Elephas maximus indicus: one gene and its partner. The protein of the gene in region 2 interacts with the protein of the main gene of each other region in a biochemical or structural test. Links are inferred from orthologs where the notes say so. Each region holds a gene or a part of one and is shown on either strand. Other genes may lie near its edges. The genes, in order: THBS1 and LRP1.

The links.
Region 1: the proteins of LRP1 (region 2) and THBS1 form a complex in vitro, tested with the Homo sapiens proteins (3 studies listed by BioGRID). The link is inferred for Elephas maximus indicus from reciprocal best matches to the Homo sapiens genes LRP1 and THBS1.

What each region holds. Positions count from the first base shown.
Region 1 is NC_064828.1:16,526,708-16,536,702, forward strand, and holds the start of THBS1 (thrombospondin-1), read right to left. Parts: upstream 4,057-9,995; 5' UTR 3,880-4,056; intron 3,295-3,879; 5' UTR 3,266-3,294; coding exon 3,199-3,265; intron 2,924-3,198; coding exon 2,364-2,923; intron 1,358-2,363; coding exon 1,282-1,357; intron 1,032-1,281; coding exon 835-1,031; intron 722-834; coding exon 599-721; intron 1-598. UniProt on the Homo sapiens protein: Adhesive glycoprotein that mediates cell-to-cell and cell-to-matrix interactions.
Region 2 is NC_064822.1:117,049,044-117,059,882, reverse strand, and holds the start of LRP1 (prolow-density lipoprotein receptor-related protein 1), read right to left. Parts: upstream 3,936-10,839; 5' UTR 3,538-3,935; coding exon 3,402-3,537; intron 1-3,401. UniProt on the Homo sapiens protein: Endocytic receptor involved in endocytosis and in phagocytosis of apoptotic cells. Required for early embryonic development. Involved in cellular lipid homeostasis.

The DNA of each region.
Region 1 (9,995 bases), on a different chromosome or scaffold from region 2:
TAATGAAGTTTGCAAGCAAATCAAGCAATCTGTGATTTGTATTTAAGGTATACGTGGCTCTCTGAGCCAGGTAAACCCCCAAAGTCACTTGCCACCGGCTGGGGAGACAGCTAGAGAAACACAGGCGGTGCCATTTGAGCTAAGTAGCCAGTTATGACCTGACAATGTCGGGCTAAGTGATCTGAACAGCAATCAGTACTGTAGTAAAAGAACCATGTCACAGCTGAATACAAATCAGGACTGCAGGGCGGGGGCAGGGAAAAGAATGTTCCAACAAGGTTTTATTTACCTGACATTCAATACTTAGTGTCTGAACTAAAGCCAGTAAATTATTCAGATGTCTTAATAGATTTGTTCTCTTAGATACTCTGCCTAAGGTGTAATTAAGATTCTGAAAAACCTTCTAAGAGTTTAAAGAATTTAAAGATGTCACAACTACATCTTAAGGAAAAACCTAGAGAGGGGAAAAAAAAGCCCACTTTGGTATCAGGCCATTGAGCATGAAAAGAACTTGGATGGCCATTTGGGTATTTCCCTGGAGACTGTGGCTTCAAACACATACCACCAATTCTGGTTTTAGTTTATAAAGATCCCTCACCTGACAGCGACATTCGGTGCAGCTATCCACAGTCCATTCTTCGTTATTCCTGTACTGAACTCCGTTGTGATAGCAGAGAGGAGACCGCCTCAGCTCATTGGCCAATTCCTTGTTCTCTTCAGTCTAAAGGAGGGAGAAAGCTCATTAGTGCTTAACCTCATTTTAGGTCAGCTGGGAGCAGCAGTGGTAAACCTTCAAGGATTTATGCTGAGCAGCTGGGAACAGGGGCCACTGACCACTTTGCGGATGCTGTCCTGAAGCGTGGTGACGATGGTGCGCAGGCCCCTGAGTTCCAGGACCATGTTGGACAGCTCATCACAGGAGATGCCGCAGATGGCCTGCAGGTCCTTTGTTTTGTGGCCGATGTAGTTGGTGCGGATGGCAGGGCTGGAACCATTCACCACATTGTCGAGAGCAAGAAGGACGTTGCTAGCTGGCAAGAAACAAAAGGTAATAGAAGATCTTCAAACAGAAGCTCTCTCCAGCCAGTCCCTGGAGTTCTTCGCTGTAAAGGACACTTCCTTTGGGGCCAGGGGATGTGTGTGGAATACCCTTTGAGGTCACGTGTGTACATCTAGTAACTGTGTTACCCAGGGGGAATTCGTGCACAATCACCATTGTTTAAGTTTCTCAGGTTGTCTTGGTGGAATTCCCCAGTTTACTAAAAATAGAAGGGTACTCACAGCTGGAGCAGCCTTTGTTCCTGAGGATGTCTTCTGGTGTGGTTCCAAAGACAAACCTGACATTCTGCAGCACCCCCTGTGGACAGAGGACACACCTTACTTGTAAGTGTCGGGGGGAGGGAGGACCGCTGTCTCTATGCTAGGGAAAGCAAACCACGGACGCTCTAAAAGCTGAAAAGGGCTCCATTTTGAGACTACTCTGCCAAAACAACACGCCAATACAAATTGCCAAACTTCAACATCTGAATTGTGTCTTCTGCCAAGTCTTCAGTATTTTCCAAAGAATTCAGTTATCAGCCTACTTGGGTACACAGGACATGGACTCTGATACTAAGTCCAGTGGATAGAATGACACTCTCCAGTGTCGAAGAGTTAAATGTGGGAGTTTCAAAGCTACAGTTGCAAAGATCTAAAAGTTCAGGTGAGGAAGAAGCTGCAGCAGCACAAAACCGAATCTTCGAGTTAACCTTTTATTTGGGACCTGCTGCATCCCCTTGGAAAACCCTGGTGGCGTAGTGGTTAAGTGCTATGGCTGCTAACCAAACGGTCGGCAGTTCAGATCCGCCAGGCGCTCCTTGGAAGCTCTAATGGGCAGTCCTACTCTGTCCTATGGGGTCGCTATGAGTCGTAATCGACTCGACGGCACTGGGTTTTTGCATCCCCCTGAGGAATCAAATTGCCAAGTATTTATTCTGTGCATACAAAATAGCCACTTGAAACAATAGTAAAGTTGCTGGAATGCATTTGAACTAAGGAGTATTTAAGGCTTTAATAGGCTGAGAGTTGTTGAAGAGCCATTTCTTGTTTCCTTTAGCGGTTTTCCACGTGTCCCCAGGCTGCCAACATCCATACCAGCATCACCTGGAACTTACTAGAACTGTACATTCCCAGGCCCCACTGCAGACCTACTGACTCAAAAACTGTAACAAGCCCTCCAGGTGATTGTGATGCTCCCTAAAGTTTGAGAACCACTGCTGTCATCTACAGACAATATTTCCCGTACCGAACCTCCTGCTCCAGCAGCCAGGTCACCTGGCTAGCAGATGACCCCAGGGGCTAGGGACTTAAAGAGGAGGCCTCACCTGGAAATTGTCATTGACGCCTCCCTTTGCAATGCGGAGCCTGGCGATGCTGGCCAGGTCCCTGGTGAAGATGCTTTGGATGGGGACCTCTAGCTCAGCGTTCTCCATCTTCTCACAGTCGATGTACAGCTGGGCCCTGTCCTCCTGCACGAACAGGGTGATGCTCTTCCATTGGCCGGTTGCCAGGAGCACGTCTTCCACTGACACCACATGCTGCTTCCCCTGCACAGTCAGGCTCAGGTCCAGGGTGCCCGCCTTGCCATTGGAGACCACGCTGAAGACCTGGCCAGAGTGGTCTTTCCGCTCGAGGGCCAGCAGCGTGCCCCGCGTCTTCTTCATCTGCCGCAGAGAGGCCAGGAGGAGGAACCCCTTCTCTGCCCGCACAGCATCTACTAGGTCCTGGAACTTGTCATCGGGCACAGGGGGGATCAGATTGGCATCCTCAATGCGGAAAGCTGAGCTGGAGGGGTCAGGGCCCCTCACCAGCCGGCGCCCAGAGCCCTTGCGGGAGCCTCCGGTGAGTTCAAAGATGTCAAACACGCTGTTATCTCCCCCAGACTCTGTGAGATAGGAGGAGGATACACAGTGAGTTTTCTTGGCTGAAACAGGCGCCAGGGGTGGCGGGCTCAGCTCTGAGGGTATGGCCATAGGTGCAGAGTAAAAACTCCTGGCAACCACTGAGACAGCCAAATGAACAGCAGGACAGGAAGCTTTGGGGAAAACAACTGCAGAGGAGAGCATGGGGGCATCCCGAAGTATTCAAGCTTAGTCCAGACACCTGTGTACCCAGCACCACCTCCTCTTCCCCCTCCCCCTAGAGTTATCACAGACTCACCTGGAATGCGGTTGGTGCCACACACTTGCAGGAGGAGCAGGACACCAAGTCCCCAGGCCAGCCCCATGGTGGAGCTGTTGGTGCCCAGCAGGGAGCCTGCAGCAGGAAGCACAGAGCCAGGGTCAGAGACGCAGCAGGGAGTGTGGGCAATGCCTGGGGCCTGGGCTTGGGGCCAAGGAACCTGGGGATCCCTCTCTGGCCCCACTTCGCTGGGATGAGGCACTACAGAATTTAGTGTTCAGAGGGAATTGGGCAGAAATTGGGAGAGATGGGGGAGGGGATGTGGTTCTAAAAGTATGGGGACAATGACCAACCATGTGGGGGCTTTTTCTTGGGAAGTCGAGACGGAAAAGAAAGGCCAGCAGATGTAGTTTGGGGGAGCCCCGAGGGCACCGGAAAGGCAGTCTCCCACAGAGACGACTGAAAGGTTTGGAGAGCGCTTGGAGAAGGGAAGGAAATCTTGGGGCGTCCTGCGGGAGTTGGGGTGTGAACCCCAAGGCTGGAAAGGGTGGCTCTGGAGTTCATCCCTAAAAGACCTCCCCAGAGGCTGGGAGGGAGAGGATGGGAAAGGCGAAGACAGAGAGAGAGAATGAGATCCGAGGGTCCCCTGAGGGGCTGTCCGAAGCCTCAGGTTGAAGAACTGGTCCTCGGCGACCGTCCGGGGCCGCGGGGTGCGCTTACCTGTGTGGACGCGGCTGCAGCGGCCGGGAGTGGCGGCGCACCAAGAGGCTTGGACAGACAGACGCTGGGACGGGAGCAGCGCCCGGGGAAGCTGAAGCAGAAGTAGGAGGCTGTGCCGAGGGAGCTCGCAAGAGCCCTGAACTCACCGCCCGGCTGGGATGCAGTGGCTGCCGAGACGGCGGAGCCGCGCGCTTTTATAAAGGGTCGCTCACATTCCTGGGGATTCCTCTGGCCAATGGGCGGCGGCCGGGCAGGAAACGGAGGGGGGCCAGTCTGGGTTCCTCTCTCCGCCCCCCGCTGCCTGGCGCGCAACTTTCCAGCTCAGAAGAGAGGGAGGCGGGGGTCGGGAGCAGGGGTGCACTGCGACTTCTCAGGCGCTTGTGCCCGCCCACGCGGCCGGGCGCGCACCGGTCAGCAAGACGGCTCTTGCGCCACGCGGGCCCCCTTCCTTAAGTGGGAATATTCTGAGCAATGACGGGGCTTTGGCGACCCACCCAGGACGCTTAGGGAGCTTTCAGGCAAATCCGCCTCCTGGAATGTGTGGGCGAAGGCTGGGGGGTGTGGACTCTTGGAGACGGAGCCCGTTTGTAAAATAGGGAACCTGACGGTAAATGGGACCAAGAGACAACCAGTCATTAAAGAAAGTGTCTCTTGGGTATTTGTCGACCCATCCAGGTGGGGTGGGGAGACCCCACGCCTGGGGCTGACGGGCAGAGAGCTTCGCGCCGCGCTCCTGCCCTTCTCCGACCCACTAAGGGAGGTGATGTTGCGTTAGGACGGCAGGGGCGGCCTACCTAGTTGGCATTCACACTGCCCCTAGGCGCACACGTTCCCGCAGCGGCGGCGGGAGTCCCTGCGAAACTCTGGCCTCTGAATTGCTGCGGCGGTTCCACAGCTTGCCGCTTGGGGGCGGTATGCGAATTCTGATCGCAGGAACCCAAGAGGATTGTGTCTTTCTAGCCAGGAATTTTAAGGAAACGTATTCGTATCCAGTTCCCTCAAGCCAAAAGTGAAATTATGTCTTGAAAAACAGTTTTTGTGCCCACTCGTGCTTCTTAACGTGACTCCTGGTTGGAGAATTTGCAGAACCATCTGGCCCCAGAGTCTTAAACTATTTACAGAACAGACCCAACGAGTAATAAATTACCCTCCCTGTCTATCATTTTATTTCCCCCTTTCCTCGCTAAACGTTCTTTTCATTTTTCGGCTCCCGAAACCGAAGTGTGGGTTACATTTCTGTGGGTGCACACAGTGCCATGAGAGCTGTTGCCTAATGTTTCTGTCATTGGAAGTCTGGTCTCCAAGCCACTGTCCCAGCCAGCGTGATGACTGGAGCTGCCTGGAATTCCATTCATCTCTTCGGGCTGGGACGTCAGCAGCCACCGTTTCCCTTGCTGTGGTCCAGCGCTATCAGGCCGCCCGCCCGGAGACACAGGGCGCAGGTAGTGGCTTTACCAAATAAGGATCTCAGCCTCAGGCCGGCATAACCCCTTGGGTCCACCTCCCTTTCTTAGTACTTACACTTGGCAGAACTCATAGCTGCTGGAAACACCCATGAGTTTACATTCATCAAACAGCAATTTCACTTTTCTGGCGTGGGGGTGTTGTGTGACAAGGTGCATGTGTGTGCGGGGACAAAAGAGTGCGTGTTTTCCGGTTACTCCAGTACCTCTAGAAGATGACAAGTGTGTTCCTAAGACACGTTTGTTGCTTAATAACTGAACTTGACAGCCAGAGAGATTTCAGATGTTGAGAGGCAGAAATGAAAGTTTCTGTCAGATAAGTAGTCAAATCAGATTCCTGTCCTGGAAGTCAGAGGTAATGATTCATCTGAGCCCCTCTGAAGATTTCAGGGTCAGCAGCCACCCGTGTAACTTCCCCCTTGTTGCTACTTCCCCAGCTTCCGGTTTGCTCCTTGAAAGATGGTTTATTTTTTCTTACTTGCTGTTCTTCATGACACCTGGTACACAGGAACAGTTCTTGGAGGAATGGCCAGCTGATGGCCTACAGACGTCTCTGGCCCATTTGATAATTTATACAGATGAGATGAGGGCTTCTAGGTCTACAAGAAGGCCACAAAGACAGGAAGCACCTTTCCTTAAAAGATGACCTCCACTCAACGTAACTGAACGGGTAGAGTAGAAACAAACATTTGTGACTAAGGGATTGTAGGAACGTGTCTGGAGTTTTCCTGGAATTTGGCTTCTTTCAACAAAACAAGAATAAGTTTAACCTTCTACATGCTTTACAAATAGAAAGGTGACGGAGATACTGGCAGGGAGGGGCTGTCTTTTCAGAGAAAGCCGACAGAGGTATAGCCAGTTGCTGTCAAGTAAACTCTGACTAACGGTGATCCCACGCGTGTCAGACAGAGCTGTGCTCCATGGCGTTTTTTGGGAAGGAGATCACCAGGATTTTCTTCTGACGTGCTGCTGGGTAAACTTGACCTGCCTGCCTTTTGGTTAGCAGACAAGCCTGTTAACTGCTTGCCTGACCCAAGGACCTGACAGAGGCATAGGAGTTATTTATCTCAAACACAAAGGCCTTCCCCAACGCATGGTTTTCCAGTTGTTCTGGTGGAAAGGAAGACTTCTAGTGGAAAGGAGTAGGGGAGAGTTTGGGCAGCTTTTAGGAGCTCACCCACATTCCTGCTGGTCAATGTGGGCTACGAATATTTGACAGACGCCTCAAATCCCTCTGGGAAGCTTTGGAAGGTGTAGGAATGGAAAGATGGGAATGGGAAAGAAAGTCTACCTACTTTAATGTGGGGGGTATCATCCCTTGTGTGTGTGTGTGTGCGCGAGCATGCACGTGTATCCTCGACTTAGAAATGCTAGGATTTCAGGCCAATAAGCTGATATGAACCTAAGTTGTCATTCTTGAAGATCACTTACTGACCTGAGGATTACTTAAAATAAAATTGTAAGCCATATGATACTTTTGCTGTAGGATTTTCTTCTTCCATGTTCCCCTAATTGGAGGTGGGAGTGCCCTAAATATATTGCCAGTAAATGGGAAGAAAAACTGTAAGTAGTAGTTAGTTTAAGAATTGTATGTGATTAAGAATAGCAAGATAACTGAGAAAAAAAATTATTTATTTATCAAAAAACATCAAAGAGGGCTGTGATTTTGTGTAGGTATTTAAAAAATTGCTTGACATGCTCAGCACTGGAAAACTTCTTAGAGGTGAGCAGCAAAAAATCTCTACAATTATATGCTGGAATAGTCCAAAATCATAGCATCTGCAGAATACAGACATCATAAATTCATCTTCTCTGGATATTTTCCCTAGATCACGGAACAAAGTGGTTTTAGTTCAGCTACCTCAATGTTCAGAGCCAGAGGAAACTGCCCATAAATATTTCTCATCCTTCAATCAAACACAGACTCAAGCTCCCCTCCACCAGAAGATGTTCTCCATGGGTTTACGTTACATTGTCTCTTCTTTCTTTGAAACTGTGAAGCATGTCTTATCTCTACCACGTAACTCATCATCTGACACTCTGGTTTTCAAAAATTTTAAATCAATTTTTGTTTTCTTGTGTGTAAGTACCAGATTGTAAGTACTCAAAGGCTTAGATTTGGGAAGAAGCCTTTTATGCTCCAGTCAATTTATAGCATAGAAGGACTGACCAGCTGTATACCATTTCATGCAGTTATGACTTAGCTCTTGGGATGGTCGTTGTGACTGACTCCCCTCCCCACAGAATTGAAGCAATACTCTTGGGGAATTGACCTCAGTAGGAGAGGGTAGAACTATTGGTTTAAGGGTAACCTCCGCCTCCATCACTGATTGGCTTGGCAATTGACATGTGACCAGATTTTGGCCAACGAGAGGTTTGTTGAAGGCTTCTGGGAAAAGTTCTTCCTTGCTTTTAAGAAAAACAAAAAAAAGCCTGTAAAACCAAACCCATTGCCATCAGTGGATTTAGAATTACAGCCACCCTATAGGACAGGGTAGAACTGCCCCATAGGGTTTCTAAGGCTGTAATCTTTATAGAAGCAGTCTGCCATATCTTTCTCCCGCAGAGCAGCTGGTGGGTTTGAACTCAACCTTTCAGTTAGCAGCTGAATCCTTTAACCACCATACCACCAGACTCCTTGCTCTTAAGAAAGACCAATGTGAGATCAGGCTTTCTCTGTCTCCATTTGGGCACAAACAAGAATGCCCATATGCTCTGTTTGGTGCTCTTGGCCACAAGGGGAGCCGAACTTAGCATGAAACCAATGCTGTAGAAGTAAGAGCAAAAGGATGGAAACAATCTTTAATTTAGATCACATTTTTGAGGTGCTGACTATACCAACCCTAAAGGCCATCCTACCTCCAGATTTCCTTGGACATATGCCTATTATTTAAGCCTTTTTTTTTTTTTTTTTTAATTACTTAGAGCCACAAACATAGCTGGTACAACTTTTTCCCTTCTTTGGGTTTTCCTTTTCACTCACACCCCTGGCCCTCCATCTCACTCCTTTTTCTGGCCAACCACCAGTTTCAAGGTCTCCATCTTTCAAAGTCCAACTCAAATATTGTCACTCTGAGTAGCTTGCTCTGACAGCTTGTCTCAGCACTCGCACACACGCACACATTCATACATCAGGTACATTTATGGCCCCTCCCTCACCTTTGTTACCATAGCATTTTACATAGAACTATTTTAGCATTCATTGCCTATGTTTTTAATTGTTTATTGGTCAGTTTTTGTGTCTGGGCAGATTGTTTGCTTTGTAATCTCTGCTTCATCAGCTGTTGTTGAATAAATGGATAAATTGATGGGTGGGCAGTTTTAGTGCTTGTCTAGTTCATGCATTTTATTGATGACGAAACCTATTTCTTTTAATTTTTCTTTAGCACCTTGAAGAGCACTGAGCGCCTGGTTATCCCACAGTAGTACAACAGAAGAGGAGAATGTAACTTAGTTCTGTAACTTTTTGTTTTCTTATTGAGGTTCTAGAGGTGTCACTGTCTTTATTTTCCAAAGGATGTGGAGCAATAACAATATATTTGGAAATAGTAAAGAATTTCCTGAAAGTGAAGGTTATAACAGATTGGAATGTTGCTGAAATAGGTTGTGAAATATTTTATGGATATCTTCACAAATAATATGGATTATGCAGTTAATCTGGAATCTGGGCTAGGTTTCATCTCAGAGATACGAAGATTCCACAGTGATACATGGAGCAACTTCCAGAGCCCTGTTCACTAAAAGAGTCTATGAATCTGCAAATGTATGAAACAATGGAGTTTCCAGAACTTGCAAGAGAGAGTTTGCTTCTGACACTGATTAAACACAATTTTCCTAAAGAATTTAACTTTTCTGAGGCTTAACATGCTACTTCAAGCCACCCATTTAGAAATGATAATTTTTCTAAACAGCCTTCACAAGTGCAATCTATTTCCGACTTTTCTGTTATTTTTTTTTTTCTCTTAGAAGAAAATTACTAGTGTCAGTTAAAATAATAAGACAATAAATGTAAAGAAAAATCCTAGTATGGCTGGGAAGTGTTGGGGTGGTGTGAAAAGATTTGAAGATTGAAAATGACATGGAGATTGGCATCCACTTTAAGTTGGAATGAAAGACCCACATGCCGTGGGCAATGTGGACAGTGACCAAATGGCTGGGTTGCTGGGCATTTGTTTTAAGTGACTTCAATCTCTTGGGAGGTTACTTTTTCTACTGTTGTTTTTTAAATAGTGAGATCGTGACAACTTGTGTTTTGTAGAACTCAGCCAAAAGAATTGTCACTCTTTCTAATTTAAGAAGATGAGTGTAAGGTCAGAAAAAAGCTTTTAGTCTTATTATAACACACAACATAAGCACTTCTGCTTCCCTGGGAAGAGATGTAACAGAGGGAACCTTTTCTTTCTCATTTCATCTTTCTTTCCCCCCTTTTTCTTCTCTTTCCCTTTTCCTCTTTTACTTTTTTCTCCTCTTTACCTCTCCTTTTTATTCCTCCTCTTCCTTCTCTTTCTCCTTCCCTTGGTCCTTCTTCCCTTTCTCCTTCCCCTTAGGACTGTGCTGCTGTTAGTTGCCGACTAGGCAATTCTGACTCATGGGGACCCCATGTGTTACGGAGGAGAACTGTGCTCCATAATGTTTTCTTGGCTGCAATCTTAA
Region 2 (10,839 bases):
CCCCACTCAACTCCACCCGAGGGTAGTGAGCCCCACATCCAGAGATGGAGAGTTTGAGGGTGTGCGAGAGGACCTTGAGAAGATAACACCGAAGGGGGATAAGCCCTAGGCCTGGGGGCTCTGAAGTGCAAAGGCTGACACTACAGCATGAGGGAAGAGAGTTAGACTTGAAGGAAGGGCTTCCCCAAGGTAAGGAAGGTGCTTTGAAGAATGGGGGATTTGGCTCTAGCCAGGGTCCTGGCTGACATCCTTAGGAGCCACAGTGATGGAGGAGTGGTTGAGGGCAAAAAAATATGGAGAAAATGGAGGGAGGAAGAGCAGGACTGGAAGAAAAGAAAAATTGTGGAGCAGTCTCAAACATCAAAATATCCCTTCAATCCCAAAATTAACAACCTATACATCCCTGCTTTGGAAAACGAGGCTGAAGGGGGATGTTCAAGGATTTGGGTCTGGTCAAGGGAAAAAGGGGCTTGGGACATCTCTCGGGGAGCCAGAAGGCTAACACCCTAGCCTCCAAACTCACTTCAACTGTACACCTTGCCTGATCACTGGTAATAAACCTGCTCAAGGGGGTTTTGGAGACAGGTAGGGAGAGAGGGTGGAAGCCGACCTTCTTCCCTATGTCTGGCTGCCTAAGCTCAGCTGGGCCCTCAATACTCTCTCTTCCCACTCCCCACCCCATCTCTTTCTCATCTTCTTCAGTAACAATTGCACTCAATTTTGTCTACTAGTGGGGAGTGGCATTGCTCCCCAGAGAGAAAGGGGTTCCAGGGGGTAGGTTCAGACCCAGAAGATAAGGCCAAAGCAAGGTGGGGAAGGCCTCCAGGACTGCTCCTATGGGGGGAAGGCAGCCAGACCTGTGACAGAAGGAGGAAGGAAGGTTAGACACTAGGTCAGGTAACCTGGGGTCAAGAGGTTTTCTTCTGTAGAAAGCAAAGGAGAAAGTTCAGTCTCTGTAGGCCTGAGGCATGAGGGCAGGAGTATGGATAAGGGGATCCTCTAGGCTACTCCTGGATAGAGTTGGACTGTGGTATAACCCACTGCTGTCAGTCGATTCCGACTCATAGCGACCCTACAGGACAGAGTAGAACTGCCCCATAGAGTTTCCAAGGAGCGCCTGGCGGATTCGAACTGCCGACCTCTGGGTTAGCAGCCATAGCACTTAACCATTACGCCACCAGGGTTTCCGACTGTGGTATGGTTCTGAGCAATTCTGAGATTCCCATCCCCCAGAGTGAGGTGGAACTGATTTTTCATATTTCCATTTCCAAGATGAGGCTATTAGTGGGTATCTGGGAAGAAGTCCTCTCCTAGGACTTTGGATAGAGTTCAGTCTGAGCAGGGAATACAGAGGGGGGCTGGGCAGGGACTTTAAGGAAGGGTAGGGTCGCTATGAGTTGGAATCGACTCGATGGCAGTGGGTTTTTTTTTTTTTAGGGAGACAGTAAGGAGAACATGTCCAGTCTCCCTCTTCTAATATCCACCAGCCAACTTGGTGTGACAAATATACCCGCTTTAGAGCCCTGTTGCTATGAGTTGGAATCGACTTGATGGCAACAGGTCTGGTTTTGGATTCAGAGCCCTGGGAGTGAAGCTACCTAGGGCCCTTCCTGGCTGGGCCAGGGACCTTTTTGTGCTTTCCACAGAGACTCCCTTGCTTCGGCCCAACTCCATCCACCCTCCGTAACAGGACTTCTGATGTGTCTGTCTCTCTTTCTTAAAAAAAAAAAAAAAAAATGTTTTTTCCACCCATTCCCAGACACTCCTGCACCCAAATCCCTTTACCTCAGTTTGTCCCTGTGGGGTGCCACAGGGCTGTGAACAAGAGAAAAGAACAGGCATGAAGGAGGGAGTCCTGAGTAGGGGCTGGCACTCGTCTGCAGGGTATTCAGGGCACAGCCTCTTCCCTTCTCTTGGGCACATAATTGAGGTAGATGGGGTGGGGGGGAGCAGACAGACAGTCCCCAAGATGGCATAATTGAGGGCCACTGAATATACCCTTCTTTCTTTGCACAGCTGCTTCCTGGCCCCAGGAACTGATGAAAATTGGGGGGAGGGGAGGAGAGGGAGAGATAATCTGGTTTTAGAGAAAAACTTTCCCAATCCCAACCTGGCAAAATTTAAAAGATGGAGGAGGGGGTGAGTGGGGGAAAGAAGGGCTGTTTCTAGTTACAGGCAGATACTGGGCCCAGTTTCATCCCTGGATGAGGGGGCTAAGATGCCAGGAAGGGATGTGAGTCCATCCTTTCTCAAATCAGGGGCCCAGCCCAGCCCCATGGTCCCAGCTGAAAGCTTGGGCAAGACTTGAACCAGTGACTCACAAGTAAGAGAAAAAAACAGCTGGCAGAAAAAGGGGAGGGGTAACTCCCTTTTCCCTAAGGAACACAGTTCTAGCTTAAGCCTAACTCTCTGTACTATACAAAGTGTGTGTGTATGGGAGGCAGAGAAGTAAATAAACACATTTACCAAAGGACAGGGAATTAGAGGGTGGGGGATAGCCGTAAACCCCACCCAATCTCCAACTCTCCTTCTAGTGCAAACTGTGATCAAGCAGAAGTCAGGAAGAAAGCAGCCTTGCAACACCCCCCCCCCCACCCCCCGCACTCCAGGCCATTCTCTAGTCCCCTTCCCCAATGATGACATCTGACTTTTTTTTTTTTTTCCATCTCAACGCTCCCAGGAATTATTAAAGAAAATTCAGTCACATAGCATCGCCTGCCCCCCCACTCCGCCCCCCAACACAGCCCTACCCAGGCTACTGACAGAGGCCCTGAGAGGGGGAAGTGCTGAATCCAGAACCCAGGAGGGTAGGTAGCCCGTTGGATCCTGGACCCAGGCCTCCATGCCTGGGCTCTGGGGCCCAGATTCCACACCCAAGCAGGGGGCCTTCCCCGTGGTCCTCCCTCTCCCCACCCACAGCTTTCCTGGGCCTGCTAGCCCTCTGCCCAGCAGGACGCCCCTGGCCCAGATCCCCGGTGAGCTTCAGAGGCCACTGCAGAAGGTCCCCCGCCCCCTTTTGCTGCCGTATATCGCAAATCCGAATTCCTTCACAATTCAAATGGGGGGGGGGTGTATGAAGGAGAGGTGGAGGCCCTCCCCGACCAGAGATAGAAAGAGAAGGCCTCTCGATCCCAGGATCAGAAAGGGGGAGCCCTCTTCTCCCTATCCAGGCCTATGGCCTTTGTCTGGCCTGGGGGGTCCTGGAAGCATCATTTGCCTAGGGCCCCCATCCCCCAAATCAGACCCCCATCGGTGTCCCCAGTGGGGCCGCTGCTGTGTCAGCTGGACTGGGATAACAAAAGGCACCCCCTCCCGCGTCTCCCTTCCCCATCCGTACGCAGGAACGGGGGCTGGGGAGGGGGTGTCCCCAGGGGTCCCGGGGGCCGCGGAATCTCACTCACCGTCGATAGCCGCCGTGACCAGAGCTGAGAGCAGGGGCAGCAGCAGCAGCCACGGCGGGGTCAGCATGGTGCGGGCTGATGTAGGCAGCAGCCCCCTCCCCTCCGGTCCTGCTACTTCTCGCCTTCGCCCCCCCATTTGGGGGGTCCCCCTTTTTCCTCCTTTCCCCCCCTCCTCTATTCTTATTCTTTCCTTCGGCCAAGCTCACCAGGGGTGTGGGTGAAGAGGCAGAGTTCGGAGCCCCTTAGAGAGGGCCTGCTGACGGGGGTGCGCCCAGTGCCCCCAAATCCAAACCCTTCACCCACTGCTTTTCTCCTCGCTCCTCTCTCCCCCTCCCCGGGCAAGCTCACAGCCCCATCTGAGAGCCGCCTCCGGCTGCAAAAATGCACAATTGGGAGGAGGCGGGGGTGGGGTGGGGGGCGTGGACCGGGTGGGGGAGCCTTTGGAAGGGGTCTGATGGAGCTCTGGGGGCTCCCCTCGTTTCCGCCTCCTCAGTGCACTGGCCGGGAGCTCGAACCGCTGTTCCCCGGCCTGAGGTGCAGCGGGGGGGGGCCAAGGGGGAGAGGGAGGGGACGTGGAGAAGAGGGAGGGAGGGAAGGGGCGGGGAAAGAAAAGGGGGGGGGAAGAGCTACGCGGCAATCCGGTTAGTGCGCATGCGCGGGTTTGGCGAGCTGCCCTGGGGTGGGGGCTCCATAGGAGCAGCAAGACTTGGAACTCTGAGAAGCGGACGGAGCGTAGGGGTCCCGGGGCCAGCTAGCCGGCTTGGGGTCCACAGCGCCCTCTCTCCTAACAGAGCGCGCCCCTGCGGAGAGCTGGACGGGCGGAGGGGGGATTGGGCAGTGGGCGAAGAGAACGGCTTGTCTTTGAAACTCGGTGTCGTGCCCTAGGATTTCAGGCTCCCTCTTGGGGGGTCCAATATCCCGTGGTCTGGGGCGAGGCCGGATTTCCTCGGGGAACCCGGCCTGTGCCTTCTCAGCTTGGGGTGGGGGTAGGGGTGGGGGTGGGGGCGGGGGTGGGGGCGGGGGTGGGGGTGGGGGTGGGTGTTGGGGCCTCCAATCCTCGGGGAAGGTACGGGGACAGACTGAGCTTTGATTTGGAGACTTTCTAAACCGGTGACTGGGATTGGGGCCTGCAGCGGAGGGGGCGGGGTGGGGGAGGGGCCGCCCCCACTCGCTCCCGGGTTTGGAGTAAACAGGGACACCCGCGGGGACACGCCAGAGCTTGTCCATTCACCTAGGGCTCCGGGATGGAGCCCACCTCAAGTCCCGCTCCGCCTTGCTTGCCTGGCACCGGGCGCCGGAGGGGCAGGCCCTGGTTTGGAGGGAGGTGAGTCACTAGCGGGTGGGGTTGAGGAAGGGCCACCCCCCCTTGCCCCAAGATATGGGGGCTCGTTTATTTTTTTGTTTTTATACCTTTGGGCTGGGTTCTCACCAAATCGGGGTTTTAGATTCTGAGCAGCAGAGATTTGGAGTAAGATGAAGAACTCTGGACCTCCAATTCCAGGCCTCGGGGTGCCTGCTGAGGGCTGGACCTTTGTCCCGGCCCTGATCCCTTACGGGAATGCTACTTTGAGTCCAGAAGGCGCCAGGCGGTTCCCAGAGCCCGGCGAATGTGCTTCTGGCCACCGCCCCCTTCTGGGCGATGTTTAAAGCTGTGGTGTCTGACTTTCTGGGTGTCTGGAAGTCAGGGTTCAGGGACCTAGGGCAGGCGACTTGGACTGCCAGAAACTGACTTTAGAGATAAGGGACATTGGACCACCCATCTTCCTAAAATTCTAGTCAAGGAAGGGCCCCAAACCCCCACTCCAATCTGCCCCTGGCTGAAAAGTGAGCATCGTGGAGGACTTGGCTGTTAATGACAGTGGGAGGGAGTGAGAATCTCGACTTTTCCCCCAAGCCTGTGCTGCTTCTGGGCTTGCTTGGCTCGGCCATCCTCACCCGTCTTTAGTCACCTAGGCTAGAAGCCTCAAAATTATTGCCAACTTCTCAGGGCCTTTCTTACATCCAATTGTGCAAGCCTATGTTCAAGGCCTGTCATTTTTCCCTTTGAAATCTATCTATGATTTCCTCCATTTCCACTTCCAGACAAAGTTTTTCTGGGTAGAGGTGGGGTCTTACCTATCCTTTTATCCAGCCCTCATGGCCCAGCGCTGTGCCAGGCACACGGCAGGGACTAACTAAATGTTATTAATGAATACCTGCTAGGTTCCTTCCTCTGCCAGGGCCCCTACCAATATTGTCATCCAAGTGAAATTAGGTTAAAATAGGCTTCAGGCAGCTTTGAAAGTAAAAAGATACCTGGAGTGACCATAGGTAGCCCCAGGGGGCTGTGAGAGGGCAGTCTCATTCCCCCTCCCCTCTGTCAGTCTTCCTAAAATTCTGCTTTCCTGTCTCTCTTCCTTGTTGGTAAACTTCTGCTGGGTATCTGTAGACAACTAAACCAAATGTGAACTTTTCTCCCAGACAGTCATGGTGTAAAACCTGGCCTTGGCCAGCCTGTAAGACTTTTCACTTTTTACCTCCCAACGTACCCCAACTGCCATCTCCTGAATGTGAATGTGTATTCATTTTTATGAACTTTATGTTGTGAAAAAGAATGCATGCTTCACTATTCACAAAAGGTGAATGTCCATCCAGAGATAGATGAATGAATAAACAAAATGTGCTGTATATATATACAATGGAATACTACTCAGCTATAAAGGAAAATAAAATCTTGACACATATTACAACTTGGATGAACTTTGAAAATGTACTGAGTGAAATATATCAGTCACAGAAGGACAAATATTGTATGGTCCCACTTATATGAAGCAGGCAAATATATAGAGACCAAAGTTTGTTGGTGGTTACCAGGGGTGGGAGTAAAGATTGGAGGTGGATCCATTTCTTAGGGGACACTGAGTTTCTGTTCATGGCAGTGGAGTAATTTGGAAAAGGATAGTGGTGATGGTCATACAGCATAATGAACAAAATCAATGTCACTGAATTGTACATGTAAAAATTGTTGAATTGCCAAATGTTTTGTTATATATTTTTTTACCACAATTTAAAGATATAATACATGCTTAGTGGTTAGAACAACCCAGAGCATAGAAGGGTACAAGGTGAAGAGTAAACTTGCTGCTTTCCACATTACCATTCTTGAGCCCCACCCTCAGAGTAACCACTACTAACAGTTCCCTGGGTATCCTTCCAGGAGTTTTTAAATATATATATAAATGAATATCCTTAAAATAATACAAATGAATTCATACAATATATACTGTTCTGTAACTTGCTTTTTCAACAAACTTATCTTGGTCCCTTTACACATAGTATGTATATGTCTTTCATACTATTTATATCTGCTATTTGGAATCTGGAAACCCTGGTTGCATAGTGGTTAAAATGCTATGGCTGCTAACCTAAAGGTCGGCAGTTCAAATCCTCCAGGTGCTCCTTGGAAACTCTATGGGGCAGTTCTACTCTCTCCTGTAGGGTCACTATGAGTTAGAATCGACTTGATGGCAATGAGTTTGTTTTTTTTTTTTTTTAATTTGGAATCTGCTTACTTGGGTACCCCAATCTATTGAGATTGGTTGGCATTTGGGTAATTTCCAGTATGTGAAGTGCTGAGGTGTCTCTGTGAGATGAGAGAATGCATATTTCTACCTGAGCCTTTAATTATACTGTTTCCCCAGCTTCCCCTCAGAAAAGCTCTCTTGTTATTCTCGCTCTGCCCATCTATTGTTTTTCAAACTTGCTCTCAAGATAGCCTGAGTACTCAGAGTTTAGCACTTAATTATGTGTGTCCTATATCCACCACCAAAGTATAAACTTCTCGAGGACAGGGACCATGTCTTTACTTCTTGGTATCCACTCAGTGTTAGGAGTTCTTGACTGATCCGTGGGGAGCCTGTCAAGAGTGTTAGAACTAGGGGCACCTGCCCTGGTAGAGGAGACAGCCATTAATAACTATTGTCGAATAGGGTATGACTGGAAACCCTGGTGGTGTAGTGGTTAAGTGCTACGGCTGCTAACCAAGAGGTCGGCAGTTTGAATCCACCAGGTGCTTCTTGGAAACTCTATGGGGCAGTTCTACTCTGTCCTATAGGGTCACCGTGAGTCAGAATCGACTCGACGGCAGTGGGTGGTGGGTAGGGTATGACTGTAAGCATTTTGCTTCCTCATGTTTTCCTATAGCACTCATCTTTCAATTCCTCTCTGCCTTAGTTTCTTCTCTTTCTCCCCACTTCTATTCTTAAGAAACTTTTCCTTTTATCTTCAAACCCTTGGGTTAGATTATACAGAAAATAATGGGATATCAGGGAAGAATTCTCTGCAATCCATAATCAGGATACCTAGAATGGTGGCAGTGGGCAAAGAAGTTGATGTGGGAAGAGGATATCTCCTTTTTTTTGGATCCTTCAGCAAATTTTTCAGCAAATTATTAAACATCCCCCTTTCTTCATTGAGGAAACCCTGGGTTGGTAGTAGTTAAGAGCTTGGCTGCTAAGCAAAAGGTCAGCAGTTCAAATTCACTAGCTGCTCCTTGGAACCTTATGGGGCAGTTCTACTCTGCCCTGGAGGGTCGCTGTGAGTTGGAATCCACTGGATGGCAATGGGCTTGGTTTTTTTTTTGTTGTTGTTTTTTTCTTCTTCATTGAGTGTAACATTGCCTGGGATGGGGCATTAATAGGGCAGCTCTGGGAGTGTCAGGCCAGACTGTCACCACCTAGTGGTCAGTTAGAGAAGTGTGATTAGGAAGGCGTATCTCTGAAGGATCTGGTAGAAGGTGGGGAGAGAAAAGAGAATGAAGATTTATTGAATGGTTACCATGTGCCAGGCCCATATAATAGATTTTACATGGAAACCCTGGTGGCATAGTGGTTAAGAGCTATGGCTGCTAACCGAAAGGTCGGCAGTTCGAATCCACCAGACGCTCCTTGGAAACTCTGTGAGGCAGTTCTACTCTGTCCTACGGGGTCGCTATGAGTAGGAAGCGACTCAGCAGCAATAGGTTAGTATGGGTGAGTTAGCTCACTGAAGTCTCAAAGCCACCTTGTGACATAGGTGTTATTTCCAGTTCGTAGATAAGGAAATAGAAGTTCAGAGAGATTAAGGAATCTGCCCCAAATCACAGTGCAGATTTGAGCCCAGGTTTCATTCATTTAAGAAACATTTATTAGGTACCCCGGATGTGCCAGGAGGCACTAGGGATATGAGATGGAAACACAGTCTCAGCCTTCAAGAAGCTTACAGGATAGTGGGGTTGCTCTATAAAAAAAGGTGATTGACAATTACACTAAGTGCCCTAATGTCTATGTTAAAGGCATGCATGAGACCCATGGGAATCAGGGAAGCACACCTATTCCAGATAAGGGGATCAGGGCAGAGCATGGCAGATGATGCCGGGGTAAAGGTTGAAAGGGAGGAAGGAAATAAAAAAGGAGGAAGGAAACAGCAAGTGAAAACAGAAGGAAAGGGTGTTTTAAGCAGGAGGGCAGGCAAAGATACGGAAGCATGAGGAAGCTTAAAACATTTGAGGAACTGCAAATATGGTATGGCTGAAGTTTAACATACTTATTGGAGAGGATGATGGATGAAGTGTCAGGGACCCTAATCACAAAGGGCCTTGTGTGCTAAACTAAGGACTTAACATTTTTTTCTAGAAGTAGTGGGGAGCCAGGTGAGAAATCGATGTCTTTAAAAATTCTTGCATCAGTGATAGAGTTGGAGAGGAAGAGAAGGATTCTATAGACACTAAGGAGGGTAGGATCAGGTATACCATTTGGTTTTTCATTTGTGCCTAGAGCGGAGTGACAGAGAAAGGTTTAAAACTTTGGCTCACATTAGAATGTTCTCAGAGTTCTCAAACTTTGGCTGCACCTTAGAGTCACCTGGGGAGCTTTTAAAAATCCCAGTGCTTGATTAGGTAGTAGATAAGAACTACTTTAGGTGAAGGGAAGGATAATACTCAATACACAGAAGGTCGGCTCAACTGGACTGGACCAAAAGCAAAGAAGTTTCCGGGATAAACTGAATGCTTTGAAGGTCAGCAGAACAAGGGCGGGGGTTTGGGGACTATGGCTTAAGGGGACTTCTAAGTCAATTGGCAAAATAATACTATTATGAAAACATTCTGCATCCCACTTTGAAGTGTGGCATCTGGGGTCTTAAATGCTAACAAGCGGCCATCTAAGATGCATCAATTGGTCTCAACCCACCTGGATCAAAGGAGAATGAAGAACACCAAGGTCACACGATAACTATGAGCCCAAGAGACAGAAAGGGCCACATGAACTAGAGACTTACATTATCCTGAGACCAGAAGAACTAGATGGTGTCCGGCCACAACCGATGACTGCCCTGACAGGGAACACAACAGAGAACCCCTGAGGGAGCAGGAGAACGGTGGGATGCAGACCTCAAATTCTCATAAAAAGACCAGACTTAATGGTCTGACTGAGACTAGAGGAATCCAGGTGGTCATGGTCCCCAAACCTTCTGTTGGCCCAGGACAGGAACCATTCCTGAAGACAACTCATCAGACATGGAAGGGGATGGACAATGGGTAGGAGAGAGATGCTGATGAAGAGTGAGCTACTTGTATCAGGTGGACACTTGAGACTGTGTTGGCATCTCCTGTCTGGAGGGGAGATAGGAGGGTAGAGAGGGTTAGAAACTGGCAAAACAGTCACAAAAGGAGAGACTGGAAGGAGGGAGCGGGCTGACTCATTAGGGGAAGAGTAAGTGGGAGTATGTAGTAAGGTGTATATAAATTTATATGTGAGAGACTGACTTGATTTGTAAACTTTCACTCAAAGCACAATAAAAATTATATTAAAAAAAAAAATCCCAGTGCTGGAGAACTTATACTAGTTGACTTTAAGACTTGTAAGCTACAGTAAGCAGGACGGTGTGGTACTGGCATAAGAATTCACAGATCCCTGGAACAGAATAGAGAACTAGAAATAGACTCACACTTAAAGGTCATTTGATTTTGACAAAGGAGTCAAAGTAATACAATGGGGAAATGCATGCCTTTTCAACAAATGGCTTTAGGACAACTGGATATCCATATGGGGGAAAAAATGAATGTTTTCTCATACCTCATACCATACCTGAATTTAATTCAAGATGGATCATAGACCTAAACCATAAAAACTAAAATCATAAAGCTTTTAGATGAAAACAAAGACTATCTTTATATCTTTATGACTTAGAGGTAGCCAAAACCATCCTAAGTTATAGAAAGCAATAACCATAAAAGAAAAAAACTAATAAAACATCAAAATTAAAAACTTTTGCGCAAACTCAAAAGGTTAGATACGAAGCTTAGGGAACAGTGAGTTTATGCCATTGAGGGAGGAAAAATTTGGAAAAAGGATGAGAATGGTTGTACAACTTGAACCATATGACCAATGTCACTGAATTGTACTTGTAGAAATTGTTAAAT